Stegostoma tigrinum: one gene and its partners. Each later gene encodes a partner of the first gene's protein in a complex. Links are inferred from orthologs where the notes say so. Each region holds a gene or a part of one and is shown in the gene's direction. Other genes may lie near its edges. The genes, in order: nup205, nup93, nup153 and nup107.

Evidence for each region.
Region 2: nup205 (region 1) and nup93 share a complex: the UniProt entries of both Homo sapiens proteins name them as parts of the nuclear pore complex. The link is inferred for Stegostoma tigrinum from reciprocal best matches to the Homo sapiens genes NUP205 and NUP93.
Region 3: nup205 (region 1) and nup153 share a complex: the UniProt entries of both Homo sapiens proteins name them as parts of the nuclear pore complex. The link is inferred for Stegostoma tigrinum from reciprocal best matches to the Homo sapiens genes NUP205 and NUP153.
Region 4: the proteins of nup205 (region 1) and nup107 are in contact, whole or in part, in a cryo-EM structure (PDB 7WB4), measured with the Xenopus laevis proteins. The link is inferred for Stegostoma tigrinum from reciprocal best matches to the Homo sapiens genes NUP205 and NUP107. Residues at the interface, in XP_041443600.1 of Xenopus laevis: Gly1247, Gln1248, Arg1249, Pro1250, Ser1458, Arg1506, Gln1507, Leu1983, His1991, Gln1995; in NP_001091312.1 of Xenopus laevis: Gln134, Glu136, Pro189, Tyr282, Tyr283, Gln770, Ser772, Phe773, Thr774.

What each region holds. Positions count from the first base shown.
Region 1 is NC_081371.1:3,290,791-3,298,260, forward strand, and holds the start of nup205 (nuclear pore complex protein Nup205), read left to right. Parts: upstream 1-4,374; 5' UTR 4,375-4,566; coding exon 4,567-4,597; intron 4,598-7,028; coding exon 7,029-7,171; intron 7,172-7,470. UniProt on the Homo sapiens protein: Plays a role in the nuclear pore complex (NPC) assembly and/or maintenance. May anchor NUP62 and other nucleoporins, but not NUP153 and TPR, to the NPC.
Region 2 is NC_081369.1:15,168,537-15,176,399, forward strand, and holds the start of nup93 (nuclear pore complex protein Nup93), read left to right. Parts: upstream 1-4,637; 5' UTR 4,638-4,724; intron 4,725-7,863. UniProt on the Homo sapiens protein: Plays a role in the nuclear pore complex (NPC) assembly and/or maintenance. May anchor nucleoporins, but not NUP153 and TPR, to the NPC. During renal development, regulates podocyte migration and proliferation through SMAD4 signaling.
Region 3 is NC_081355.1:33,648,816-33,656,596, forward strand, and holds the start of nup153 (nuclear pore complex protein Nup153), read left to right. Parts: upstream 1-4,348; 5' UTR 4,349-4,530; coding exon 4,531-4,614; intron 4,615-7,781. UniProt on the Homo sapiens protein: Component of the nuclear pore complex (NPC), a complex required for the trafficking across the nuclear envelope. Functions as a scaffolding element in the nuclear phase of the NPC essential for normal nucleocytoplasmic transport of proteins and mRNAs.
Region 4 is NC_081371.1:37,318,305-37,326,185, reverse strand, and holds the start of nup107 (nuclear pore complex protein Nup107), read left to right. Parts: upstream 1-4,807; 5' UTR 4,808-4,905; coding exon 4,906-4,937; intron 4,938-5,622; coding exon 5,623-5,717; intron 5,718-7,814; coding exon 7,815-7,881. UniProt on the Homo sapiens protein: Plays a role in the nuclear pore complex (NPC) assembly and/or maintenance. Required for the assembly of peripheral proteins into the NPC. May anchor NUP62 to the NPC. Involved in nephrogenesis.

The sequences.
Region 1 (7,470 bases):
TTACGAAGTTATCCAAACAGAACACACACAATTAACAATGCTGATGTCGAGAGGAATCTTTCATGGTGTTTCCAGTTTTCAGTCCTCCAAGGCAATGAAATTGTGTCAAATCAGTTAAGCACAGCGAATAGGTGGCAATTGCAGGGCCCAGTCCACTGCATGACTTGTACATATTAAGATGGGGATTTTGCAAAAGCTTTTGGCTATGAAGCCAGAGAACCTATTTAATGTGATGTGACAAAATGAATTTCAGACATTCTTATTTCTTGTTAGATTGGCTGTAATTTCAAAGACACTGTGCAAAATCTTACAAAATGTGCAACAAAATTTTCAATCATTCCAACTATTCACTACCCTGTCTGCATACACAACTGGAAGCACAGACCTGCACTGAGACAGGTACACTCTAATGCTTGGTCAAAGAGATCGTACTTCCTCTGGTGACTTTGAATGCCAGCAAGGTATTCAACCACGAAGCTATACAATTCTACTGTCATAATTGAGCATTCATTCATGCATACTTCTTCCCAGTACAATTCTGAATTATGATAAGAAACCCCTAGCCCAGCTTCCCTCTCCCCAAATCAGGGCTTAAAGGACAGTTGTTCCAGTTCTACAATCTGAAAGTGTCTAATTGTATCAGGAACAAAAATAGCAACATGTTTTCTAGATGGTAAGAGATCAGAGATTGATGGAACTGAGTGCCCTGGTACACAAATAACGGAAGATTAAGTATGTACAGACAGCAAATAATTAGGAAAGCTAAATTAATGCTATTGTTTATTAAGAGGGGCACTGAATACTAATGTAAAAGATTATGCTTTCATTGTACAGGACTTTGGTGAAACCACATTACTGGTGTCTTTAATTAAGGAAGAATCTAAGTGCTTCTGAATGATCTTAGAAAACTTTTACCATACTCAAATTGAACTCTGCATGTTATCTTACTAAGAAAATTTGAAAGGCAAGGCTTGTAGCCACTGTTGTTCAGAAGAATAAGTAACCTGATTAAAGCATGCAGTGAGTCAAACCCCCCTCAATATTACTTACGGAAAAGTTGCTTGTGCAAGAATCTGGAACTCGGGGTCACTGCTTCAAAACAAGACCTTGTCTGTTTAAGACTCACGTGAGAAGAAATCTTTGGAGGTTCATGAATCTATGGGTTTCTGTTTCTCAGTAGGGGAAGCAGAGTCTTTGAATATTACAGCAGAGATTCTTGGTAAAGAAACATGGAAGCTTATTGTAGGTAATGAGAATTTACAGTTTCACATCAGCCACGTTCTCATTGCACGGTGAAAATGGCTCAAGCAACCAAAAAGCCTAACTGTGCACCTAATTTGTTTGTATTGTAGGAATAAATGAAACACAAATAAACCATTATTACTGGGACTTGGTCTGTGTTTTTCAGAAACAACACAAACCACTAGTGCAGAAAACGAATGTGTATTTTTATGTTACATGGTACAGGTTCAGTGTAACTTAAAAACACAAAACAGCTCAGACTAACGTTAACAGCCAAAATTAATCCATCTTAGTTGGGCCAACAAATTTGCTGAAATATCACCCCAACAGACAGACCAGCCAAACAAAGCTCAATGTTAAAATTCAGAATTGCACTGCTAGGTCTCACAACGAAACAGACAACCTGCAGTAGCCAAGTTAGTTTTTAAATCTGTTTTATATGTCAGTTAAACTATTTGTACAGGTTCACCAAGTTCTGCTGAACACCTCAATCACAATGGCAAAAGATCCCAGATTGAATGCCTTCTTTGAACTAAACTAATGGAATCAGCTTGGTGTACTTCAAAAATGGCACCATCACGTTTGGGTGGGGAGAATAATACTGTGTCTCCTGTTGCACCCTGGTGAGCCTTGCACATGAATTATGACCACCCAGATCAAATACGACAGCACTGTATCACAGCAATGAGCAAAACGTCTTGGCATAAGGGAGAGAAAGTAAGTGAGGCAAAGATTTGTGTGGACACCATCCCTTCATTATGATACATTTGAACAAAATTTGCATAAACACACAGCAGAAACATTCTTAACCACCATAACAATACAAACTATTCACCCTGATTAGATTTTGCAATCCAGAAAATCAGTTAACTTTCCTGTTGCTGCTGCAAAGGTTGATCATTCTTCGATGACAAATACTAGATAACACCATATTTCTGGGCCCAGTCACTGGACCCAAAACGTCAATTCTGCTGTTTTCTTCACAGATGCTGCCAGATCTAAGCTTTCCCAGCAACTTCTGTTTTTGTTCCTGATTTACAGCATCTGTAGGTCTTTTAGTTTTTATTTAGCACCATGTTTATTCAGTTAACCAAGGCTGTCAACAGGTACTACCCTACATTAGATTTCGCAAGAGTCAGTTGCAATTTGAGAGTATTTTGTTTTACAAATTCAAGTGTTAAATGACAATTTGCATTAGATTTAGAGCGCCATGGAAATAGGACAGCACCCAGTCAAGTCAGATCATCACGACAAGGTTCGGGTACATACACAACTGTATCAATATATTTTTTGTTTAAAGTCAATATATGCAATATGATGCTTTCATTCCTCCATTGTAACCCCCAATTTGTCTGACTTCTCATGCAAGCCCAGCCTCAGAATTTCAAACCCAAAATTGTAATAATCACTCTCTTCCTTCTTTCAGGGACATAGAAATGTTGACAAAAATTCTACACAATTTGTATTCTATTTCACAATTTGATCAGACTAACTGCTCTTGCTTACCATTTCCCACTAAAAATTTACAGACAAACTCTTATGCTCGAGATACTGCTTCAAAACTCATTGGTACATTTTGTTTTTGAAGATAAAACATCACTTGTAATTCTCAGAAACACATACATGATTTTCCCTAAATTAAACCTGAACAAATCTAATTTCAATCAAACCTTTGTAATCACCAAGATAAAAAGTATGAAACATTAAAAAAAAACAAGAGTCATATTTGTTTGGAAAGTTCTTCATGGTTACTGAACATCTTTTAGGGGCAAAAATGCCTGTACTTATTCCCAGACAAATAAATAACAACCTTCATACCTTGTATTCATTTATATAAACTCCTCCCAACTGCTAACAATGAAGTAACATCTAAGGCGAAGTGTTGGCCTGTTCCATGCCTACTTGCTCAAAAGCAAAAATAGAATAAGACTTCCCGCTAAGTTAGACACGCTGCCCATCCCTAAACGTAGTTGCAAAAGGTGCGAATGAACTTTAGGTTTTAAAAAAAGAACGAAATACTGCAAATTCACAATCCCAGGGATTATACAAAGGAGAAATAAAAATTGCGCTTTGGAGAAGGAAGGACAACCCTTTCGTGGAGGTACCCCTGAACGGTTGAGGCTAAGAAAAAACACGCGAATTCCTCTTCTCTCACCACATTCAAAGCAATTGCAACTCTCTAGTGTTTTGAAGAGAACAGGCTTTCTCCCAAGCCGGCCGGCTGGCCTGCTCTCCCCCCCTCTGCCCGTGAATCCACGGCGTGGTGCCGCTCCCCGGTGATGCTGGAGGAGGGATGGTTGGTGGCTGGGGTGGGGGGGGGTGGCGGTGGGAAGAGGCAGGCCAGCGCGGCCTGGCTGTATCGCTGAAGCCTCCGGGTAGTAGTAAATAGCTGGGGTGCCTGGCTCCCCCAAGTCTCTCTCCCTCCCAGCCCTCACCGACTCACAGTTCAAACTCAGCAGGAGCTCCCAACGCTCTTGTCCTTTCCCTGGATCTGTCTGCTTCTCTGCTGGCCTTAGCTTTCTGGGAAAGGGGCTTGATTTTCCTTGTTTCGTCCCCACCCCTTCCTCTGTCTGTCTTCTTGCTCGGAATGGCTTCCTCCACTTCTGTATTGCGGATAATTTGATATATAATTATATATCTCCGGCACTGCTCCAATTTACACACCAGCCACCATCTTTTTTTCTCCTCTCCCTTAGGAAACGCGAGACGGAGTCTGCGCAGAAAGGCGACTGCGCATGCGCCGACCCATACACCGGCAACCGTTACCCTTTCACTCGGAGCCCCGCCCCTGGGTCCGTCGTCCACCGTGCACTGTGGGACATGTAGTCTATTCGTCGCAGAATCAAGCAAACCTGGCCTAGCGGCCTACATTTCCCAGAAACTGGCTCCCACGGCTGGCTTCCCAGACATTTTTCAAACATCTCTTCGCGACAATTTCTTACTGTATCGAAACCACTATTTCTTTGATGCAATCGTGAAAATCGCGCTTTTTCTAAAAGGTTCGTTCATTGAAATTTGGTGCAATATTTTAATTGGGGGAAGATGGGGGTGGTGAATGGGTTACTTCCGGTGTGGTGGCGTGAAGGTATACTGGGAGTTGTAGTCCGGGATTGTGGGAACGGTCACGTGCCTCCCCCAAACCCGCTCGATTGAGGGCCGGTTGTGGGCAGATCGCGGGTTGGGAAGGTAACCGTTGATTCGAGAGTTGACGGGTGGCCTCTTGATCACGGTGTGTGGGCACGATTGGGCTGTTTGGCGTGAAGGACAACCTTCCTCCTCACCCCACGACAACCTGGAGGTTTTCGGTTCCGGTTCCTCTCCAAGATGGCGTCCAGGACCATGGCGGTAAATTCAGGTCAGTGAGTGAAGACGGGGGAAACAAAACGCGAGCCTCACCGTCCGCCCTTCACCCACAACGAGGGAGGGAGGTCGGTCTTTCAGTCTTTCATTCAACCGTCTGACTCTAACGTTGGGGGGCCAGTTAGCCCCCAGCTCACCCACAATCACCCGACCCCAGGCCGCGTTTCTTCATCTTCAAATGAAGACAACAATTCAGTTGGGAGAAAGGGCGGGGGAGGGGAGGGTAAGGAAGCAAGAAAGGCCTAGGGTGGCTGCGGAAGGTGGGGGCAATAGAGTAATGAGGGACAGGGACCATGTGAAAAGTAGGGGAGGTGGTTGGGTGGGCACGATGGGATTGAAACTTGCAGAATATTGAGAGGCCTGGAAAGAGTGGACATGGAGAAATTTTTTCCACTAATGGAGAGACTCGGACTTGAGAACACTGTCCCAGTTTGAAGTGATGACTCTATGGAACTCATTGTCACAGAGCTCTGTAGAGGCCAAGTAATTGAATGTATTTAACACCAAGATATGTAGGTTCTTGATAGGTAAGGGGATCAAGGGCTATGGGGAGAAAGCAGGAGAATAGGAATGACAAGCATGTCAGCAATGATCAAATGGTAAATTATACTCCATTTGTTAAATGGCCTAATCCTGCTCCTCTATCTTGTAGTCCTATTTGTTGGTGTAATATTTTTCAGTTGCTGCACAAGCTAAGGAATCTGAATTTCAGCTGAATTAGGAGCAGTTATACTGTTATCCAACTCCTTGTTCAAAACATGTTTTGGCTACAAACACTTTGTAGGGCAGAGAATTCCATAGGCTCACCACTCTTTCTATGAATATATTTTTTCTCATCTCCTAAATGGCCGAGCCCATCTCCTTAGACTAGGTTCTGGGCTCCCCAGTCATTGGGAACTTACTTGGTATGTTTACCCTGTCGTGTCTTGTCTTGTTAGAATTTTAGAAGTTTGTGGACCTGTGTCAAACGTTAAGATTAGATTTTAAAGTTTTTTTTTATCAATTGTTTCACGTTGCTCAGCAAATACTTCTCAAATAACGTTGTTTGAAGTTTTCTCCTCTCGGCTAATGTGATTTTCTACATTATGCTTAAGTACAGTAGGTTGTTTTTCGCAGATAAATTGATTGAACTGCAAATTCAAGATCTGAAACACTCAAAAATCATTGAACATCATGTTTTAGAAATTATTTGCCTTATTGAATAAAGGTTTCATTTATTCAGCATATTTTAATGTGCGAAATACCCAAACATATTGCCAAATAATTAATAAGTAAAAGGAGTACACACACTTGATACATTCTATCCAATAACATCATGGCAGATCTTCTACATAATTTCATTTTCCAGCTTATTTTCCTTTTGCTTCCCTTGGTGCCTTGGTTAGTTTACATCTACAGCCAAAAATATACAGGTCGTGAATTACGAAGATTCCACAGCCTTCTGGGTGAAGAAATTTCTCCTGACTTCATGTATAATTGACTGACCTCCTCATTGTTAGACAATGATCCTTGATTGAGGAGAGCAGCCTCTCAGCATCTTCTCTGTTTATCCTTCTTAGAAATTGTATGTTTCAATGCAATCACCTCTTTGGAACTCAAGCAAAAGTAGACTTTGCTGATAGGCTAACAGTCATGCTAGAAATAAATCCTAAACTTCATTCAATCTTGAAGAAAGGAAGAACATCCTTTCTTGTGTACTGAGACCAAATCTGTGCACCATACTGGATACAGCTTTATTAAAGCCTCATATAATCACAAGAAAGTCTATTTACTCTAACTCCCTTGCACTCAAGGCCATACCGTGCTAATTACTCTACTTGAATGTTACCTGTGGTTCATGTGCAAGTTCACCCAGAGTTTCACAATGTTCAACATAACTTACTTAGTTTTAAAAAGAGCTGCTTTACTGTTCTCCCTGCCCAAAAAATTTGCTTAAATTTTTCAAAATCTAAAACCTGGCTGAAACAATTCGGTTGAAATGTACAGTGTTGTATATGGTTCATTGAGTATTATGCATCTCAGTAATGTGCTTGAGTTATCTTTTGGTGTACTGGTCAAATGGTACAGAGGATTTTTGTATTCTCATTCTCTTTTCGTTTGGGTGTCTGCTTTATGAGTAAGGTCCTCAGTCCTGAATGCTCAGGATCTTAAAAGTTGGGTCAGTAGTAATGTCTAATAGAAACTATTTTATTAATATTTATGAATTCCTTGCTGTTCTGTGGAGTGAGGCCCCTGAATTATGTTCCTCTTTCATGGCTTGCTGAAGGGCATTATGGCTGAATACAAAATTCTCACACAAGCCAATTTTCACCTCATGAGGCTTACTGAATCTAACTCCTTACATATCTTAGGATTTTCCTGAAAAAAGGTGGCCGTGAATGAGTAATGTTCAAATCGTCAACTGGCTTTTATTTTGTGTGCTGTAGCTGCCAGTCTGTGGGGGCCGTACAAAGAAATCTGGCAGACAGTGGAGAATGTGATCTGGAAGCGTGTTCCAGAAGCTGTTCACCTGTTGGACCTCACACTCAAGAAGCACAAGCCAGATTTCATCTCTCTCTTCAAGAATCCGGTGAGTTTTTCATTCCTGTTTATTTTGTAGTTTCTATCAGTGGAGGCATGCAGGCAGTTCACAAACAGGTTTATCAGCTACACAAAGGCAACAGCAGGCCTGAAGGTCCGTCTCAGTTTCACCTTATTTTAAGAAAAAAAAATCCATGCAGAGTTGAGAATTCAAGTAAAAAGCCTGGTAAATCAACAGAAACCCAACCACAAAATCCTCCAGTCTCCAATGGACTGATGTATTTCCAACATATGTTTTCATGTATCATTTAACAGGCCAGCTCTCTGAAAGTATTGAGAATTGAACTT
Region 2 (7,863 bases), on another chromosome or scaffold:
TATATCCATTGTCTATTCAATGTCTTTTGTCCAGCGTGTCTTTTTTTGTGCTTATTTTCATCCCCATCATGATTTTGTCACAGCTGGAGGTGAGATTTGCACACTGCTTTTAATTAATTACATATACCCTTGGTTTTTAGTCATGCCAGCACAGCATTGTGATGTTGTTCTTGCAATTTGTTTTGCTGGCAGCTTACAGATATATTCTTAGTTAGGACACTTTGTTCCCACAAATAAGTTTACTTTTACATCTACTTAGCTTTTAATTAACCTTTAAAAGTTACTTACCTTTTATTAGCTGTTTTCAAAGTACTGATTTGAACTCTTACATGTCTCTCAATTTGACAAACTTTATTTATGAGGAGAAGAAAGGTAAGTGAGAGTAAAAGCTCTTAGGCCCAGCTCTATCAAAAGCAGCTATGCTGTACATTTCAACACTCACTTAACAGGTCCACATTATCAACCCTTGACATCTTCCCATGGTGCATGCAGAGGTAGAAGAACGGGAAAGCCAGAAATGAGGACAATTGAACACAACTGGGGAGTCCAAATGTCTAATAAATGAAATTTTGGCTCACCTCACCAAAATGGATCATTTCGAATCTGCCTGATTTCCGAGACACATATGTGAAGCCAGGCTTGCCACGCTGATGAAAGATTATGTAAAATCATAGAACCACAGAAGTGGGCCATTCAGCCTGCTGTGCCCCTGTTGAATATTTGCAAAGGCAACTCAGCTAACCCAACATTCCTCACCCTTTCTCCCGGAGTCCTGCGTTTTTGATTTTTTTTTGGGATTTCCAATTTTGCTTTTTAGACCACTATTGGGAAACTAGGAAGGAGAGCTGTGGTGTAGATTTCAAATGTAGTAATCTCTGGATTACACACAGTGTATACTTCCTGTACCCCACTCTTGGATAGTTCAAATTCCAAACTACTCAAAATGTAAAATAGTTCTCCCTTATGTTAGCATTTTGCATTTTAATTTAAATTGCTGTTCTCTTGGCCATTCTCCTTCCACATTTGGCTTATTTTCTATCTATTGTGAATATTTCTAGCAAATCTCTTAACTTTCTCCTCTCAGAGGAGAACAGGCAGCAATTCTTCAAATGATCCACTAACTAAAGTCCCAAAAGTCCCTGGAACTAAATCTTTCCTGCACCCTTTCGAAAGCATTCACATTATTCCCAAAATATGTGTCTAAAATTGGACACAATATTTCAACTGAGAAAAAATAACAAAGAACTGTGGATGCTGGAACCCAGAAACAAAAACAGAAATTGCTGAAAAATCTCAGCAGCCCTAGCAGTATCTGTGTAGAGAAAGCAGAATTAATGTTTTGCGGTCAATGACCCTTCTGAATTGAGCCCTCAATTTTTTTGTACCGAAATGCATCATGTCACACTTTCCTGCGGTAACTTTCATTGCAACAGGTATACCCAAACACCCACGTTTAAGTCATTAATATAATGAAGAATCTGTAACTAGGTATCTAAGATGGCACCACAAGTGGCACCTTATAAACTTTCCACTGTATTCATTTGAGTACATGTTACCATAAAGCTAATTCAATTCAATTCAAAGAGACTCTAATTCTGATCACTGAGAAACCCCACTGTACACCTTCCTTCAGTATAAAGAAAAACATTGATTCACAATTATACTCTTGTTCCAGTCACTCACCCAAATTATTACCCAGACTCTATTAGGATAAGTAAAGTTCACCATGATCTTTATTCCGTTATTGCATTAATCTGTATTTCCCCTGCAAATCTGCTTCTCTGTATCTTCTCCGACTATTTGATGAACTATATAACATACCTAGTATTGCAATGGTACCAACATCTAATGAAATTGATTCTGTTCTTGATCCCTTTAGGGACAACCTCTCTCCAGCACTGTAACCTTAATCAATAGTGTCATTCCAACTCCTTTTTTTCCCTGCTTCTCTTGGCGTACAGGAGTATTTACATCTGTGCACAGAAATACAAAGAACAAAGAAACCAACAGCACAGGAACAGGGCCTTCGGCCCTCCAAGCCTGTGCCGATCAAGATCCTTTGTCTAACCTGTCATCTATTTTCTAATAATTCAGACTTCTGGCATTTCATCGTGTACTGATCCCCAAATAACATCTACGTTTTCTTACTCTATGCTATCTGTCTGTCAAACCTTTGTGCACATTCTTTCTCCTTTCTAATGTCACATTCTGGTTCTCAATCCCCTGCCAAGACTATGAACCAGCTCATGAGAACACATTTCATGATCCTGGTCCTGCCGTGTTGCGGTGCAACTCAACCAGCCTGCATAGAACATGACCCAATGTACCAACAATTTAAAGCTCCTGCACAATCTCGCCAGTTTCATATTCCGCTGATCTATTCTCCTATTTCTATGTGCAATGCCTCTTGGCACTGTGTGTAATCCAGAGATTACTACATTTGAGGTCCACACCACAAGTCTCCTTCCTAGTTTCCCAAAGCCTGAATACAGGATCTCATTCCTATTTCTGCCTAAGTTGGTATCAATGTAGACCAAAGCAGCTGACTGTTCACCCGCTCCCTTTAGTGCTCGGCAGCTGGTTAGCGATATCCTTGATTTTGGCATCAGGGAGGCAGAAATATCATCCTGGATGCACATCCGAAGATGCAGAAAATCCTGTTCGCTCCCTTACTACCAAATCCTGTAATATGATATCTGCACAGAGCAGATAGCTGTGTTGCCACACACTTGGCTCTGACTGCATGCCTGGGGATGATCCATCACTCACACCAAGATACAAAATGTAATATCTGCTGGAGAACAGGATGCACTTCCTGCCTTATCCTCCTCGGCTGTCTCTATCTACTTGTGCACTCTTAACCTGCAGGGTGGCCACATCTAGAAACATGCAGCTGACACAACTCTCAGCAGTTGCTGTTCAATACCCAAAACCAGGAGGTTGAATCCTTACAGCTGTCAACACTTCCTGCATATAAGGTCCTCCGGCAAACAAGCTGTAGCAGCTTCAGGGAAGTATCAGAATATCTGGGAAATATTTCTGCTGCCGATACCCTTTCCTAAGTTATGCAGCTTCTCTAGCCGTCTTACCGACAACTTAAAACTTAACAGGAAAAGCAGGCCTGTCAACCTCTTTATTAGACTATTTCATTTCCCAGGGTTCTTTCACTAGTTTATTTCATAACGTCATTCTAATGGTGTATCTCACCGGGCATTTCACTGGTTTATTGCACTGGATTACGTCCATGATTTAGTTCACTAGTTTATTTCACTGGGTTACTTGTTTCACTGGATTTTTTAAAACTAATTTACTGTCATTAGTTTATTTGCTACACGATATTTTTTGACTAATTTATTTTATGGGATTATTTCACTGTATCACTTCAAAGGATTATTTTACCAGTTTATGAAACAGGATTATTTACAGCATTGGCTAATTTATATCTGTGGGTTATTTATTTCATTAGTTTATTTCACTGGGATATTGATTTAAACGGTTTAGTTATTTCACTGAGTTACCTGTGTAACTGAGTTAATTATTCAACTAGACTACATATGTATCTCTGGATTTTCTATTTTCACTGGGTTATTTATTTAACTGGATCATGAAATTAACTAAATTATGCATTTACTGGGTTGTCTATTTCACTAGATTACATTCTTCACTGATTTATTTATTTCAATGGGTAATTTCACTGGGTTATCCATTCAATTGGATTTTCTACTTCACTGGATTATCTATTTTACAGTTTAATTTGGTGGATTATGTATTTCACTGGGTAATTACTTTCACTGGGTTATCCAATATCACTGGGCTAGTTCACAGGCTTGTACATTCACTAGGTTATCTATTTTACTTATTTAGTTTTCTGGTTTATTAAATTCAATTGTCAAACTCACTGGGTTATCTACCATACTGAGTAATTTCACTGGATTATTACAACAGGTTATCTATTACTCTGGGTTATTTATTTCTGGTTTTATAGAATTATTAATTATTTCACTGATGTCTATTTCACTGGGTTATTTGACTGTAGTAACTATTACAGTGTAATATCTAATTTATTGCGTTATTACACCAGAGAGTCAATTATACTTATTATTTGACTATATTATTTGTTACTCTGGTTTATGTCACTGGGTTATTTAACTGTTTTATCTATGAGTGTAATATCTAGTACACTGGATTACATCTATTACACTGCTTTATTATACTGTATAATCAATTATAGTGGATATTTATATTTACTACACTTGGTTATTTCAACGCATTATCTATTGGACTTTATGATCATTGGTCGATTTTGCTAGATTAACTATTACACTTGTTCATTACACTACGTTATCGAAGACATGGGACGGTTTCACTCCGGTCCCCAGGTCCGTGTCACTCCAGATCCTCCCCCACCCCCCGGGGGTCCGTGTCACTCCGGTCCCCCCGACCCTCACACCGTTTAATTTCTGTTTGACTGAGTTCACCTCTGCCTCGTGAGGTTACAGTCTCATCAACGGAGCCTCTCTGATTGGTTGTTGCGGCCGGCCCGCCGAGACCTTCCGCCAATAGTACCGCCAGTAGCTGCACGTGACGCTTGATGAACCTATGGGAAGGCGGATGTTTGTTGAGGGCAGCCAATGGGAGAGCAGCTCGCGGAGCAGCCTGGGTATCGGCCAAGTGCAGGCGGCAGCTGCTTCATCGAGAAAACAGGCCCGATCCGAGGGAGAGAGGTAATTGCTAGGAGCGGGGTGATTCCCGGGCCAATACCAGGGAGTGGTTAATACTGGGGGAGAGAGAGGGTAACATGGGGGTTAGAGGGACAATACTCGGGAGGAACGAGGGAATTCTGGGGATAATACTTGGTGGGGGTAGTACCTGAGTGATGGAGGAGTATTATATCGGGGGGCGAGTAGAGGGGTAATACTGGGGTAAGGGGTAATAACAAGGGGGGCATACTCGGGGGGAGAGAGATGAGGTAAAACTGGGGAGGGGGTAATAACGGGAAAATATTGGGGGAAAGGGTGATACTAGGGCAATGGTGTTATGGGGGGAGTACTTGGTGGGCAGGAGTAATGCGGGGTAGGGATGGGGATGGGACATAGGTAGTACGGGGGCGGGGGAGATAGATGATCCTGAGGGTCGAGGGCGAATACAGTTGGGGAAGAGAGAGGTAATATGTGTTGTGCAGAGAGATACCGGGAGGGAGGGAGAGACAGATAGACACACACCTGGGGCAGGGGTAACGGGTATGGAGATGTAGTAATGCGGGTGGTGCTGGGACGAATGCTAACGGGGCACTGGTGACAGGGGTATCTAGGGACTATGAGGAGACAGGCTGGGATAAGAGGTAATGGCAGTACTGGGCAAGTGATAGCCAGGTTGGACATTGGGGGATACTAAACATATCCCCTCCGCTGACAGGGCAGGCGGGGGGGGATACTAAACATATCCCCTCCCCTGACAGGGCAGGGGAGTCCAAATCCAGGTCCATCCAAGACAGCAAATGGGGAGCAACAAGTGTTTGACTGAGTTTGAGGAATTATGATCTGAGGAAGATTGCAGAAAGGCATAGGCAAATTTTAAAATAATGTCAGTGCTGTCTCAAAGTAGAGAAGTGACAAACGTGTATAGAGAAGAAATGATAAATGTAAAGAAGTGTCTAAATAGTATTCCTAACAGCAGAGGGGGACAGAGAGATCCAGGGTTATACGTGTTGATCTTTGAAGTTCTGTATGCACTCATGAGGTCATAATAAAGATGTTTACATCCCCTTATGTATGTAGGAATATTGAGAAATATTTAAAAAATTGAGAAATTTTCTAAGAACAGTTGTTACTGTTGGGGTATATGCCCCAATTTATATTCAAGCCATGTAAAAGGTGCAGTGAAGATTTGACTGAAAGGCATCACATGAGAGATTATGAAAGAATGCAGATGTTTCCACTGGAAGTGAAATTCCAGGTCGGAAGGGGAGATCAAATAGAAGTTTTAAATATTGGAATCTTCATAATCAGTGAAAACATATCTGTAAAAGACATCAGTGTGGACCTGGAGGAACACAGCAGGCCAGGCAACATCAAAGGAACAGGAAAGTTGGTGTTTCAGTTCAGGACCCTTCTTCGGTCCCGATGAAGGGTTCTGACCCAAAATGCTGGTGTTCTTGCTCCCCTGATGCTGCCTGGCCTGCTGTGTTCCTCCAGGTCCACACTGTGTTGTCTTGGACTATCTCTCTGAAATAGATGTGTTAGCAATGACACACACAAACCAGTGTTATTACTGATTAAGAAATGGGAGGTATAGGCTGTTGATTCTTTGAACCTTTTCTGCTGTTTGATACGATTGGGACTGGTCTAAGGCAATTCTATTTTCCTGCTCTATCTCCATATCTTTTAATCCTCAACTACCCAAAATCTATTTATATCTTCCCCGAATATGTTCTGACTGACCTATCAGTGATGCCGAGGGTAGAAAATTCCAATGACACACAGTCCTTATGTTTAGACATTTTCCTCTTTGCCAAATGTCCAACTCTGACTTTTGGACTTTCACCTTGTAATTCTAGATTATGCAGCAAACAGATGCATCCTCCCAGCATGTCTGTCAAGCTTTTGGAGAATGTTGCATGATTCAATGAGATCTGCTGTCATTCTCCTAATCTTTAGGGATTATAGCCTCATCTACATGATCTCCTGTTGGGCAATTCTTTCATTGCATCAATAAATCTAACAAAACCTTATTTCATCCCCTTTGAAGGGGGGAAATATGTCCTTCTTTGACTGAGGAAAACAGGGTTGTATATATTATTCCAGATATCTCTCCGATGCCTATAAATTTTCAGCAAAATTTCTTTAAGTGTGAGGTCAATTGGGAGGTTGTTTCAGACAAGGATGGTCATGTGTTCTTGAAACTGACCATGATTTTAAGAAGGGAATAATACAAATGTCGGTAAATTGAGATAATCGGTTAGTGTCATTTGGAAACTTAACATTGGTATGGTTGTTGGAGTGAGAGTCTCCTGTGCAATATTTTCTGTGATATTAGAAAATTTAACTGAAAAATTGAGGATATATTTGAAAGATTTAAGAAGCGTGTAGCAAGATTGGTGAATTAGGAAGGTTTGTTGTAAATGAATTCCTAGTCAAGAATTGTGAAGTAACATCTTTAATGAAAAACAACTGAATTTAGAAATATAACATAATAAAATTAAGAGGTGAGGAGGCATAAATGCAGGTGTACAGTTTGTTAGGAGTGACTAAATGCCATACTATAAGATCATAAGATATAGATGTGGAGTTAGATGATTCAGCACATTGAGGCTGCTCCACTCTTCATCGATCATGGCTGATATGTTTTTCAGCCTTATTCTCCTGCCTTCTTGTAACCCTTGACTCCCTTGCCGATCAAAATCTATCCACTTCTGTGCAAGATACACTCAATGACTTGGCCTCCACTGCCTTCTGTTTGATTGAGAACAGGCAGGTAGTGGTGTTCCTATGAATTTGTTCCCCTTGTGCTTCTAGGTGGTACAAAGTGTGATTTGGAAGGTGATGTCTAAGGAACCTTAGTATGTTAACGTGTAAACTGTTGCCAGGTGGTGTCAATGGTGCAGACAGTGAATGTTTAAGGGGCTGGATTTGGTGTCGTGTGTAACAAGTAACAGTGAACAGCTGTCTTTTTTTTAAATGAGACTTCAGCTTTAGTGATGAGAAGATGGATCATAAGCATAACTTTGGAATGCAAAAGAACTTAATTGAAGATTTTAAAATTAGGAACCATTCTTAATGATTTAAAAATTGAGATTCATCCAATTGTCTGGTGAATACTATACAGTACTTGATTTTTAAAAGTATCATTCGCATGATGTGGAAG
Region 3 (7,781 bases), on another chromosome or scaffold:
TTATTGACTAACTTGAGTTCTTCTAACTCCATCTGCTACTCTAATTTCTAATATTTTAGATCCATGTAAACAGCGCCCACATCTCTTTGAACCTTCACTGCTTGATACTTTTCATCATGGATAATGTTCTGAAGTTTTTAGGTTCATTGTAAATATTATTTTCCATAATTATGTTTATTCAGAATATGTTCATATTTAAACTGCATGTATGCTGGATTTGTGGCTTTGTTCTTTAATAGATGTGCCTTTAGGCCCCAACACAGATCTTTGTGGAATATCGCAAGTCATGACTCAGGCCTACTCTGTCTCTTCCCACTCTACCAATTTCCTAACTACAATTGTGTACACTTCCATGAGTTTCAAATTTAGCTAATAAGGAGTTATCAAACATCTTTTGGAAATTCATACAACAACATCCATAGATATTCCTACGTCCGTTGTTTCAGTTAATTCTGCAAAATATAAAATCATTGATTTGTTCTTATACAAGAAGCAAATATTTGGCTCAATAAGTATCTGCCCACTCACCACAAGAGCAACTCATCTTGTCCCGTTCCTTAATCCTTTCCCTGTAGCATTGCATTCTTTTCTTCTCCAGGTGCTTATCTAATTAGGCGCCTTGTAAATGTGCCTTATAAAAGTCATGGTCAAAATTGTCTTTATCACTCGCAGGCAATGCATTCCAATTCTTAGTCAATTACTGCATAAAAATACTTTTCTGCATGTTGCTGTTGGTTTGTGTGCTTCTCAGATTAAATCAGTATCCTTCTGTTCTCAATCATTCTCCAACAGCAGACCATTTCTCCCAAGATGCTCTGTCTTGATTCTTCCTGATTTCAAATACATTATCAAATCTTCTCTCAACCTTCTCAAATCTGTCAAAGTAACTCAGGTTCCTCATCCCTGGAATCATTATGCTAAATTTTTTATGCATCTTTTCTGAAGACTTAAGGTCTTTCAAAAGTATGGTGCCCAGATCAGACTCAATATTCAAGTTGACGGTTAAAACTATGAAGATCAAATTGAATCAGGTTTGTCTAGTGTAATTTTATTTATTCATTTGTGGGTTGTGGCTGTTGTTGGCTGGACTGACATTTATTTGCCCATTCTGATTCCCCCTGAGAAGGTGATGCTGAGCTGCCTTCTTGAACTGTAGCAGTTCTTGGGGTGTTAGAGAGTTCCAGGATTTTGACCCCTTGGAATTGAAGGACTTACAGTTACAAGTCAAGATGGTACTTGCAGTTTGAATACTATTTGGCACTTATTAGCTCAATGCTGAAAGTTGTCTAGGTCTTCCTGCATATGGATATTGACTGCTTTAGTAGCTGATAAGGAATGATTGGTGACCAATGTGCAATCATTGCCAAACATTCCCAATTCTCACCTTATGGTAGATCTGTGCAATCTTTCTTGGGTCAACTGAAACAATTCAAGGTGTTCAATGCAAGGGAATTCATGCAGACCTGTATTCCAACCAGAACTCCATCAATAAACACGTTGAACTGGACCCAATATACAAACCACTGAAAAACAGAACTGGAAATAATGCCAATCACCCCAGTAAACCAAGGCATATAAATAACAAGCAGGAAAGAATACCAAAACTACACAAGAGGCGCACTGACCATGATACCTTGCAGGGTGACAAAACATCTGCAAACAAATCGATCGACTCAGTGAGCAAGTCTACAAACTCATCCACAACCCAAGCTACAAATCTAAAAAACTTTTAAAGGTGTTCAATCTTTGTATAAGTGAATTTAGAGTCTAGTAATTCCCTAACAACAAATGTTAAACTAAGAACTAATGTTATTCCTTATGTATAATTAAGGCTGAGACAGATAGATTCTTGATCGGTAGGGGAATGATGGGTTACAAAGAAAACAGAGGAAAGTGGGCATCAGCAATAAGAACGTTAGACAAAGGAGAGTCAGTGTAAGGGATTCTCTGGATTTAGAGAAGACTTTTGACAAGGTACCACACAGGAGGCTGCTAAATAAGAGCCCATGGTGTTCTGGGAAAGGTACTGGCAATGGACAGATGACTGGCTGACTGGCAGGAGACAGCAAGTGGGCATAAAAGGATCTTTTCCAGGATGGTAGCTCGTGACCAATGGAGTTTCACATGGGTCAGTGTTGGGACCACAACTATTCATGTTAGACATCATGATCTGGACAAAGGAACTCACGGCATAGTTGGTAAATTTGCACATGACACAAAGATAAGTGCAGGGGCAGGCTGCGTTGAGGGAAGCTATAAGACTTGGATAGGCTGGAAAAGTGGACAAAGAAGTGGCAGATGGAATATAATATGGAAAAGTGTGAAACTGTGCACTTTGATAGGGAAAATAGATGTTGGACTACTTTGTAAACTGGGGAAAGGCTTTGGAAATCTGAAGCACAACGGGACTTAGGAGTCCTAGTTCAGGATTCTCAAGGTGAACATGCAGATTCAGTTCAGAAGGTAAGTGCAATGTTAGCATTCATTTCAGGAGGAATAGAATACAAAAGCAGGAATGTACTAAGGACGCTGTATGAGGCTCTGGCCAGATTATATTTGGTATATTGTGAGCAATTTTGAGCCCTGTACGTATGGAAGGATGACCCTGCCTCGGGGGGGAGTGTTCAGAAGGATGATCCTGGAAATGGACGGCTTGTCATACAACAAGTGTTTGAAGAACTAGATAGCGTTTTGAAGGATGAGGGGGTATCGTAATTTAGAATTCTGAGAGGCCTGAAGAGGGGGGATGTGGAGAAGATGTTTCCACTTGCAGGGGAGACTAGGACTTGAGTGCACAGCCTCAGAATTAAAGAATGACCCTCAGAACAGAGGCTGGTAAATCTGTGAAACTTGATACAACAAAAGGCTGTGCAGGTAAGTCATTGACTGTCTTTAAGAAAGACACATTGATAGGAACTTGATTAGTAACGTACAGGAAGAAGGCAGGAGAAAGGCGTTGAGAAGCATATCAGCCATAATTGAATGGCAGAACTCATTCGAATGGCGTAACTCTGCTCCTATATCTTACTGTCTCATGAGCTATGCTCCTATCAAATTTATTATCCTGCCATGATAGATGGTGGAATCTGAATTCAATGAAAAAAAAACACATGAAAGAAGAGTCTACTGGTGACCATGAAAGCATTGTTGCTTGTCAGGAAAACTCATGTGGTTCACTAATGTCCTTTACGGAAGGAAATCTGCTGTCCTTACCCGGTCTAGCCTACATCTGACTCTGGATGCACAGCAATGTGGTTGGCACTTAAAAATTAGGGACAGGCAATAAATGCTGGTCGAGCGTGCAATGCCCACATTCCCTTGAATGAGTGAAAAATAAGGCAGAGCACAATCAAGGGCCAATGTGCCCTGCAACTGTTCCCATTTCTTATGGTCATATGGTTTTTAAGGAGAACGTATAAGTGAAAGTTGAGTTTAGAACTTTCACTAGAACCAAATTAATTTCTCCCCCTTCACTGCCACCTGACTTTTTTTTGTTTGCTTGAATTACAGCATCGGTAGTAGGTTGCGTTTGGAATCACCAGAGGATAAAAAATTCAACGATTGCTGCCACCACACACATAAGTAAACGCCAAAAATCATAAGTCAATTCGCATCAGTACAAAGTTAAATTTTACATTTCTACAGTACTCGTCATGACTTCCAACGTCCTTACACGCAATCCATGACGCCTGTAATGAGGTGGAGACACAGTTGTGATGTAAAATGACTCATAATATTTCGGCGAAACTTTCTTGACCCTCTGTAGCTGCTTTCTCAATGTTAGATAACACTGTCTGATTTCAGTCTAGTAATATTTTGGAATAAACCAATGACCGTTTACACACTTCACATTTTCAATAAGGTAATCTTGGTTTCCCTTGAGTAAGTTTTGGTCAGTAATTCCCCTTCCCTCAAGCACGAAACTGATCAGCACGCAGATTCTGTAGCCAAATGAATCCCTTTGAAAAATTCACTGATCCACTTGAGCTCAAGTCAATCACGTTCGTAGAGCCAGAGATGGACATCCTGAGGAGAGAATGTAGATTTCGTACACCCGTATTACCCTCCCGATCTCCATCCTCAGAAATATTTTGGTCTAAAGACCAGAAGCACAGAAACATGGTGGGGAGACGAGGGCAAAGCGGAAGTTAACACATGCGCTAATCTTCCTTCTGCTCCCTTGATGCTTTGCGGGCCGTTTGTTGGGCGGAGCCAATGGCAGCGTCTGGCGGCGGGGTGACGCAGGCTTGGCGCATGCTGTCTCTTGAGCGCGCATCGTGCGTTGGGGGAAAAACCCTTCCCCTGAGGGAAGGCACTTGCGTGCGAGTGAGCGAGAACGCGCCCGCATGCGGATGGTTGGTTGAATGCTTGTTGCGAAGTGCGTGGTTGCGGGAGACGGTAGAAAGCGTGTGACGTTACAAGTGTGGATTCCCCCCTTCTCCGTCCCTCCTCCCCCCCCACCTCTTCCCGGACACGGCTGCTAGGAAATAGAGAGCGGCGCGAGCGACTGGTAGGCAGACGGATTCAGATATGGCGGCGGCGACAGGAGGAGGGGGGGGTAAAATCCGAAACAAGAGACACCATATCATCAGCAAACCTTACGCTAAGAACCAGGTATTTTATTTTATTATTTGTTGTTACTCTAAAGAAAGGATTGCCAAACCGGACCGCGTTAGGTTTAACTAAGTCGTTGCAGGAGGAGGCGGCTGTCGTGAGCCCCGCTTTCTCGGCAGAGACGGTGTGCGCGAGCCGCGGCCTAGTGGCTGGCTTCAGCGGCCTGAGCGATTGAGGGCAGAGTCGGGACCAAACTTGGGCCCGACCTGTTCAAAAAGGTAAAAAAAACAGGCTGGAGGCGGGTAGAAGGTGCTGACGACGGAGCTGTAACTCCCAATGGATCTCTCCCCTCTGGGATTTATTTCATTGTGTTTAGTGTTTACTGTATAAATGCTGTTGAGACGCTTCTTGTCGGCTTGTTATTCGCTTCCGGTTGCATTCCCACGGCCGGCTGGTAAGAGCGACTTTCTCTCCTTTTTTTCCCTCGACTTCGTCTCCCCTGTTTTACTACGCTGCCCTGTTTTTCTTCCTTCAATCTCCCGTTCTGGCCTGAGCTTCACTGGGTAGTCTTTCGGCTTGCTCCGGTCTCCGTCCTTTTCGCGTGCCGCCATGGGCATTTTGGCGCGGACTTGATTTGTTCCTTTAAAGCGAGTCTTCCATAACATTTTCGAATACTGCTGTTCCTGTTGTGGAAGTTTGGCGTACAAGTGCGATTTTAGCCAGTACATTCGTGTACTGCATTTTAACCAGTTTCCTCTTCTACGATCATCGTGGGTTTGGGGGTGGCTCAGCTGCGACTTTGACATGAGGACTTCACGCTGCCGGTATCTGGAGTACTCAACTGTTGCCACCGACTTCTTAATAAATTTACATTTTGACGGGACACTTTGCTTTTTGAACTTCAGCTAGTATATTACCTGAGGGATTTATATTCGAACAGTCTGATTTTAAAATTATTACAATTAGTACTAGTATATGAGGTTGTTAGTATCAAAAACAACCGAAAGCATTTTGGTTGGAAGATCGGTCTTATTTGTGTTCAGAAACTTGGCATTCAAAAATAATTTCCACACAACTTTTATATTTCATTCCCAACTATACTGAGGGGGTATTGCTTCATTGTGATAGGCTTTTGCAAACCATGCTGATGCATTCTTATCGAAATGGAAGTGCATAATCGGCACTGTAGGCTTGTTTCAGCCCTTCAGTAAGATGCTTGTTTCTTAGATCTCAGATGTTAATATGTGGGAGGGAAAAAGTGAATTTATGAAATATAATGCGCAAGTACGGACATCTTGAAGCACTTTACAGTCATTAAAGTTTCATCCTTGTAACAAAGAAAACCTGACACCCAGTTTGTGCGTACAAAACTTCAACAAACAAATGTGTTGGGCCAAGTAATCGTTCTCTGATGCTCTTCTTTGAGACAGTTCCATGACACCCTTTATATCCACCTGAGGGGCAGTTGGGCTACAGCATCTCCATGGTGCAGGACACATTTGGGTGCTGAGCTGGTCTGCCAGTCTTGATTTTTATGCTGAACTTTGAATGAATCTTAAATTTGAAACCCTGTGACCCAAATGAGTATCACTAACCGAACGTCAGTCATTAGGACCATATTGATATTTTTGTTCTGGAAAGAATTTCACCTGCTAAAAGCATGCATTTGTGTGTGTCCCGCATCTATGAAATGTGTAGTTATTTACTACTTTAAGGATTATGGTTACACTTGCTGTGTATACTCTTTATATAGTTAAACCTCACCTTATGTTTTACCTTTCAAATATTATTGCTACCTCCCTTAGATTGTTGTATCTTTCACTCTTCAGTCTTATTTCCAGCCACTTATTTGTTTTCATGTACACTAACTCATTGTCAGTACACACAGTCTTAGAGTATCGCAGTCTTGCATTTTAAACACGTTGCAAGTTACCGAACTAAACTTATATATATTTGGTGCTTTAAACCTAGCTTCACAAAGTGTTATCAGATAGAAGTTAGTGATGCAAAGTTTTAAAACTCCTCTTGGAGGAGGGTGAGGTGGAAAATTTTGTGAAAGGAATTCTGTAGAAGCTGTGTCATTGGTACACAAAAGAAAATTGGGAATTCAAAATGCACCAGTGTTCCAGGTTCGAAGTAAATGGGACTTCTTTGTTCCACCTTTCCTAACATGATTGTAACTAGATTATCTCCAGTGATTACTTTTTTTCCTATACCATTATGCCTTTGTTCAGAAGACCCATGGAAGCCTCCTTTTATTTACTTGCATGTTGCCTTCTGATGGTATCATCCTCAGTCTTGGGTCAGCTTCCAGTCAGAACAAGGCTGAAGCCATTGTATTTGGATCTCCAGTTTAATCTTGCTGACCCAGATTTACTTCAACCTCTTCAAATCTGAACTGAGATTCTGAATTCAAATAATTATTATTATTATTGTTATTATTGTAAATAGCACTTACGTTAACCTGTAAGATGTTCTTGTTACGTTCTGCATTTATGTAGAAGCATGCTGGCAGTTTATAATAGTCATATTTTTAAAGATGTGAATATGCAGGGAATGTAGGAATATGTACCATATGCAAGCAGATGGGATTGGTTTAGAATGGCAACTTGGTGGGCCACGTGACTGGTCCTGTGCTGTACTGTACTCTATAATATCGCTTGCATCTATGGGGTAAACCTTTCTGCTACTGAAACTCAACTATGCCTTTATTGCTTTGATGCAAATATGTCCATGCCTGCTTTTGTCCTCCACTACCTGTAAAGATCACCTCATTCAAAACTACCTTTTATGTTCTACTTATACTTTGTTGCACTGTTAATACTCCCTGTTCTTGCTGACTTTCATTGTCTCCTGACCCTTCGGGCACCTAATTTCTAAAATTTTCAGTTAAATCCCTTTTTGTATCCTCTATTGTCATCTCTGAAACCTCACCCAGCCCACAAGTTTCACCCACACAAACTTTCCACCTACCTTGCCTTTGGTTCAAAATGTCTTCAGCTGTCTATCCATTCTATTCCACCAGCCGTAACCTGAAACACTAAGTAATTGGGATTGTGGAGGAGGAATTGATGGCCATTAGAAAGAAAGTACCAAGGAACCTAATGGGACTGAAGACTTATCAGTTGCCTCTTAGGATATTAAAGAATGAAGCTACAGTGATAGCGGTTGCACTGGTTGTAATCTTCCAAGTCTCCATAAATTCTGGCAAGGCAGCAGTGGATTGC
Region 4 (7,881 bases), about 34 Mb from region 1:
TAAGTAGACCCACAAATGCTGTTACAGTAAGAGTTGCAGCATTTTGACCCAGAGACACTCAAGAAACAGCAATATACATCCAAGTCTGGATGATGAGTGGCTTGGAGGGCAACTTGCAGGTGGTGTTGTTCTCATCTATCTGCTGCCTTTGTCCTTCAAGATGGAAATGGTCATGGGTTTGTAAGGTGCTGTCTTAGAAGTCTTGGTGAATTTCTGTTTTGCACATTGCAAATAGTACATATTGTTGCTACTGAGCGTCAGTGGTGGAGTGAGTGAAAGTTTGCGGATGTGGTGCCAATCAAGTGTGCTGCTTTGTCCTGGATGGTGCCAAGCTTCTTGAATATTGTTGGATCTGCACCCATCCAGGCAAGTGGATTCCATCACACACTTGACTTGTGCCTTGTATATGGTGAAGAAGCTTTGGGGAGTCGGGAGGTGAGTTACTCATTGTAAGATTCCCCGCCTCTGACATGCTGTTATAGCCACTGTATTTATATGGTGAGACCAACTGAGGACGGATAAGTAAAGCTGTGAGATGCAGTTGAAAAGGTGGGGAAAAGGATAGTAATGGACATGTGATCTTAAGGTATATGGGGAATGTGTCCAACAGCATCAAAGGGCATGATAAGCAACATATGGGGGGGTTGCTGGAAATGGCCAGCACTATAAAGGAGATGGGTGCATGTCATTAAGGTATAACATCAGTGTTCAGGAGGCAGGGAGGAAATTTGGTAGCGTTTGATGTATTGGATCTCCTCATTGGTGAGAGTGTGGGAGGTGTGTTGGAGATTGGTGGTAACTTGTTGGGGTAGTGTAATGTTAAAGGAGACATGGAAGCTCTAGGGGTAGGGTGGGTACCTGGCAGCCATGCAAAACAGGGTGCTGATGGTGATGAGCTGCCTTCCCTGCCATCCACTTGCCATTCTCTAGATGTGAAATGCAACTGCAGAGTGACTGGGACATGGCACAGGATGGGTGAAGTGCTGTCCGTTTGATGGATGAAAGCACAGGATCCATGTCTCCTGCTCTCCAGCACTTGAAGTGGCAAATACATGAAGGAGGTGATTGCAAACTTCACCTACATTTAATTTGCAATTGCTTCTTTAACCAATGCAATGTCTGACGAATGAACATGCCTGGGCTTCAAATGCTGGTCAAAAGTGATTTGTGCCTCGCTATTGGTCCTTGCAAATGGAATATTGATGTCCTAGTGATGCAGAAGACAGCAGCAATGACTTCAGATAGAGGTCAATATTATGCAAGGTGAACCATTAATTGTGCAATTTCCAAACAACTTTCCTACTAAGCTGCATGGCTACATTAACATGTGCAGGGTCTGTGCACGCAGACTGCTGTGCTGGACATGTTAACTTCTGGTTTTGGTAGTTGCTGCCATTCACAGACCTTGGAAGTTTGTGCAACAAACAAATGTATTACATGGGAATATATATGCGATTCTTTGATAGGCACATGGAGGATAAAAAATGTAGGGTATGCAGGGTAATTTGATCTTAGTAGGATAATAGGTCGGCAAAACATCGTGGGCCAAAGAGCCTGTACTGTGCTGTACTGTTCTATGTTCTATATCTTCCAAAGGTTTAGTGGGAGGTACAGGCCCATCATCTATCAAATAAGTTTAATGATCATCCAAACTAGTGCAATGAAAAGTTGAATGGATGATGTGGGTCTGAGATGGGAAGAGGGTCAGAGCACATCCAGTGATCCCTTTTGTTGTAATGTGGCCACTCAACCATCTTTCATCAAGTTGAGGCTGAAGCTGAATGAATAATTGGGGAGCATCATGTCTCACTGTATCGAGAAGTATTTTCAGCCCTTCTTTGCAGGGTATGCCATAAATGGCTCTTGTGTTCCAAAACTAGGTCATTTCCTCTGAGTGTCCTGCGCTATGCGGTTTGTAGATTTCGGTCACTGTGGCTACGTTCCTAAGAAAGTGAAGGAGGATGCAGAAGGACCAGGGCCAACAGTGAACCTAGAAATAGCAGCAGGCCCCTGCAGTAAATGAGGAGCACCCAGCTTGGTGAAAGGTTATAGTAACAGAACCCCTTAGGATGCATGGGATTCATAGGCCTTGACACCTTTTCATGTGAATAATTGAGGCACAGTAATCACACAGGCTCTATATGTCCCGGGCTCACTGCTAGAGTGAGATCTGAGAGCTGCAGAAAGCCATCTTCTCCTGGTGAAAGTGACAGTCAATTTGAATTTCGGTATGACCTATTTGGGATATCTCAGTCGTGCAGCCACAAATGCATCAGAACATTGATGCCATCTGTGCAAGGTCACACCAGTTCATTTTGTTTCCTCATGATGAGGTTGGCGCTGCAGTCTGGGCAGTAAAATAATGGGAACACAGCTGCCTTCCCACGGGTGTCAGTGACTACACACATGTGGCACTGAGGGTCATGTAACAATATTTTGGAATTCATAAACAAGAATGGCTTCCACCTGATTAATGTTCAGGTTATCTATGATTACTGTTACCACTTCTGCAGGTGTTTATCCACTACTCTGGTAGCAGCCATAACTCCTACATCCTGGGGTACTCTCATGCACTTGGCATGTTTGAAGTTAGGTACATTACAAGTCTGGTTACTGGGGGGCAATGGATAGCCACTGTGACCATGGTTCATGGCACCTTTAGTTAAACTCCTGTCTGACGTGGAGCACAGATATAAAGCTTCAATCATGGCCATACTGGAACTGTCAACAGGGTTGTTCAAGATGAGATTCCACTGCTTGGACTGGTCTTGGGAAGAATGGGGTGGAATCCTGCAGTACAGTCCCAGCAGAGTGTGTCGCATCACCTAGTTATGCTGTGCTCTGCACAGCTGTAGCAGGCAATGAGGTGATGTGATAGAAGCTGAGGAACTGGAAGAATGGACCCAGCCTTCCAAGAAGGAAGATGAAGACAGCAGAGAGAAGAAAGCTGTCTTTGTCCATGACTTAACTTGGTATGTCAAGCACTACAAGCCCCACAGGACCTTTGACACCAGGTTTCAAGCGATGCGAGCTAAATGCAGAAGGACATCATTGATTGTAAATTAGTCATTGGTTATCATGTCAACATTTGGTTGTCATTGTTGAGATAAAACACAGTCTCTATTGGTGTTGGCTGTGTTTGCTCTTGCTGGCTGTAAATAAAAGCTCATCTTTGAAATTGTCAGATTGCTTGCCTGTATGTGATGTTCCCATATTGGATAATGACAAGAAGCAGGTTTCAAGTGGCCACTGGGGACCGAGTAGCAGTGACATAGAGAGAGAGTTAGATGAGATATAGCTACAGTCTAACTTTGTGACATGGGGTAGTTAAACTGGACAAGTACCACCAGCAGTGCTTTCACAAGATTCTGCAAACTGAGTGGCAAGAAAGACATAATGATAGCAGCATTGTCTCCCAAGCTAACATGCCCAGAATTAAGATGTTAATAATTCAAAAACAGCCCTGCTGAGCAGCAGAAATCATTGTATGCCTGACACGAGGCTCTCGAAGCAACTACTCTACTCATAACATGGTTGAGACATGAGAATCTCAGGAGGGAAATGGAATTTCTCTCTTCTTTAGAGACATCCTCAGAGCATCCCTGAAGAGGTCAAAAAACCTGAGCCTCATTTAAATCCCTGACTTGTAATTGACCAATGTGGAGAAGCTTTTGGAAGGTACAACTTACATCAGTAGACTTTATTGGGAACACAGACCCAAAGTTGAGGTCTTGGAGAGAGCATAGCACACAAACCTCCCAAATAAAAACTATTTATTCAACCCTCCAAACACAATCTGCCTCTTCAATAAGAGGTCTGAGTATTGGATTGGTGAATTTTGGAACTTATTTTAAGAGGACTAGACCGTAAAAGCAGGGATTTACTTCTGAGCCTATAAAGCTTTGGTCAGACCACGTTTAGACTATTGTGAGCAATTTTGGGCCCCATACTTCAGGAAGGATGTACTGGCCCTGGAGTAGGTCCAGAGAAAATTCACGAGAATGATCCCAAGAATAAGAGGTTTAACACATAAGGAATATTTGAGGACTGTGGGTCTATACTCGATGGTGTTCAGAAGGATGGAGGGAAGGTTCTAATTGAAATTGGGGTGTCATGGTGGCGGCTGCCTCACAGTGCCAGGAGCCTGGGTTTGATTCCAGCCTCGGGTGACTGCCTGTGTGGCGTTTGTACATTTTCCCCATGTCTGCGTGGGTTTCCTCCCATGGTCCAAAGATGTGTGGGTTAGGTTGATTGTCCATGCCTGTAGTGTTCAGGGAGGTGTCGATTAGGTGGGTTATAGGGGGATGGGTCTAAGTGGGATGATCTGAGGTTCAATGTGGACTTGTTGGGCTGAAGGGCCTGTTTCCATACTGTAGGGATTCTGGAGGAATACTGAATGGCCTGGACAGAATAAACAGTGGGAAGATGTTTCCATTATCCAGAGAGACAAGGACACAGCTCGAGAGTAAAGGGAAGACCTTTTGGAACGGAGATAAACAGAAACTTCTTCAGCCAGAGAGTTGTGAATCTATGGAATTCATTGCCACAGAAGGCCAGGACGGAGATAGATAGGTTCTTGATTGTCAAGGTGATCAAGGGTTATGGGGAGAAAGCAGGAGAATGGGGTTGAGAAATTTATCCGCCATGATTGAATTGCGGAACAGACTCAATGGGCCGAATGGCCTAATTCCTGCTCTTTCCGGTCTATGTAATGAAACGCTTGTTGAGTGTATGTCAATTTGCTCGCCAACCACAGGGGGCGCCCGAAGCGGCGCTGAGATCCGGAGGGAATCTGTTACCTCTTGACTGCGAAGGACGCGGCCGTTGAAGCGCGCGCCGATGAAAGTGGAGGTGTAGTTTTGGTGCTTTTACGGATCAACAGGCGGTAGTTTGTCGGCACTCAACATGTCGCAAGTATGGCAGGAATCACTGGACAGGTAGGAAGATCGACCTTTGTTTCAGCGCCCACGTGAGATGTGCTTCTATCAGAATTATGTCCAGGGCCTTGTGTAAGAGAGAGAGAGAGAGGAATCGGGGAAGATGGATGGGGGTGAAGGTGGACAGGGAAAGGAGGCGAAGGCGAGAAGAAGGGGAGGGAGAGTGGGTGTTGGAGGAGGAGGAAGGGACGGAGAAGAATATTGGAGAAGTGAGGGGAGGAATAGGAGGTAGAGACTGCAGGGGTCAGGAGTGAAGGGGGTGGTGAGAGAATGGAAGGGGTAGTGAAGAGGTTGTAGGTGGAGGGAAGGGATGAAAAGGTGTTTCTTGAGCTACTGAGCGAAATCTCAGACCCTGGCCTGGTGATTAGGAGAGTTAGATGTGTGGTTGAGGGCAAATACAACGTAGCAGGAAGATTTCATTTGAGGTCTTGTGGAATTTAAAGAATGTTTTAGATGGAGGTGCAATATATTTGTTATATGTATATTTTAAAATATTTAACTTGAATTTGATCTTTATTTTTCAGCTAAAAAAGCAAGTAACAAATCAATGGTTTAATTTCAGTCATGTTTAGAAGGAAGTTATTGAACAATAACATTAGTTTGAATTGTGTATTAATATGAGGTTTTGTAGCTACCTTTAAAATCTTAGCATTGGTTTCTAAACTTTTGGATCTTCTTATTTCAGACGGACAAGTGGAGATTTCCCATCTCCTGAAGTCCGGAGCTCTGAAACTAGTAGAACTTCTCTGAGGCGCAGTGCTACAAAAAAAGGTTCTGACAGTATCCTTTTCACTTTATGCCATTCTGACCAACGGGTCTCCAATGGTAACATTTAACCTATATTTTTATGTGAAATATTGTGTTTCCTTTGTTTTCTGCATTCTCTTGTAAGTTTACTAAGTTGTCTTTGTGACTCAGGAATATTGCTATTTTTAAAGAATGAAGTATGGAAACTATCTTTTTCATTGGACAAGAGCATTATGGTCTGATGTTTATTAGGGAAGGACTTGAAGATAATGATCAATATTTCAAAAAGAATAAACCCACCAAGAAGCCGCCTTTGGAACATGGAGCTGGACGCATCTTGTTCAAAGGATTTTTTTTAAAACGATGGCAGAGGGATGATCAAGGGCAAGGAGATCTTTCCCTCCCTGCTGTGAATTGAAAGACATAAATAGGCATTTTTTTCTTCCATGTATTCCAGACATTTATTTCTGTATTTTTGCAAAGATCAGCATAATGCACAATCGGTATCTCTGAGTCTACTTGTGGCAGAGTAAGCTTTATTGTAATCTATAACTTACTTTGGGGCTTTCATAAATCATTTTGTCCATGAGTGCACTCTTCATGGCAGTACCTCAACCAATTACAGTCCACTTGTCAATCACTCCCCACTCTCCTCAATATAGTATGAAAGTTGTTTTTTTTTCCTCATCTTTCTTGCTACATTCAAGGTAAAAGCTTTGACTAAATTTTTGTAGGCAATTCTCAAGTTCTGTACATATAATTAACTTAATTACTACTGAAGGAAGGAAAGACAGGAGTGATAAAGAAGAAAAGAGAATAGACAGTTTCTTGAATACACTGCCAGCAACAGTGAAAATTCATTATCACGTTTGAAGACATTCTTGGCTCCATGACAGAAAGGTTGGGGCTCATGGAGGTAAAATCCTCTGGTCATGTAACCACATGAAAGACTCAGAATGAAGCTGTTTTTGAGGAATCAGAAGAAATGAGAATTTGTTTGTTTTAGTAAATGGGATGGCTGACATTGGATTGATCCATGGCACTGCAAGAAAACAGGATATTGTAAATGCTGAACATGTGATCTGAAGGAAGTTGAATGAAAGATGGACAGAATCATTTCGTATAGAAACAAAAACTGGGGCAAAGAATAGAGCTTTGAGGAACCTCAAAGGCAAAGGCTAGAGGATGATCAAAACTGTTAATATAGCACGAACAGAGCACTTCTGTTTATGGGGGTAAGAATCTGCATAAAAGGATCTGTTTCTATGAACATAGTGTTGGAGGGTGACTTTTAAGAGAGAATGTTGGACTTGGAGAGAGTCTATTGAAATGACATTGTACCTACCCCTAATCTGTATGGTTGAATGACACGTTCGTAAAGTTGAAGAGCACATCTTCAAATGTGGGCAAGGTTTCCAGTGAAAAGACCATGCTGCTTTCATAGTTAAGGAAAATAGGAACAAGTCAAGGAAAATATAAACAAAAAATAATGGCCTTTTTACTTAAAGACACAAGTCATGTACAATCCAGAAGGAGAAGAGTTACAACATGTTAGGCAAAAATATCATTAAACCCATTGAATCCTTTGAAGGAAGAGTAACAGGTAACTCGGTGGATATATAAAGTTTGCAACAGACCTTAATTAAGATACTGCACGATATATTCTGACCTTAGTCACGAGTCTTTGAAATTGAGGTAGTTGGAAAAATAGATAGTAAGCTAGCTGTAAGTCAGGAAACGCTGAACAGGATTCATATCAGATTCAAAATAGTAACTCTAATTTTCCTTCTACAGATGCTGTCAGCTGTGCTGGGGTTTTCCGTATTCTGTTCGTTTCAGTTTTTCAGCATCCACTGTATTTTACTTGTACTTGAGGGCTTGTTTCTGTGCTTCAGTCTCAGTTAACTATTTGAGGTGATTAATAATTATGTCATGGTCGACCGCTTTTGAAAGTATTGATGCAAGGGCAGTGCAGCAGTTTTGAAGAATAGCAGTTTGAATATCACTTGTGTTTTAATTTGGGCAAACTGGTACTAATGTAGAACAAGTACTAATAAAGATTTGCTGGAAAGAAGTGATGACTGTTTGTGAACTATCAGATCCAACTTCACTTAACTTATTCTCTCAAAGTACTGAAGCACGCTAAAGGCCCTTCCAGCTTACATCTGCTATCAGCTACTCGAGCTACAGCTCATAT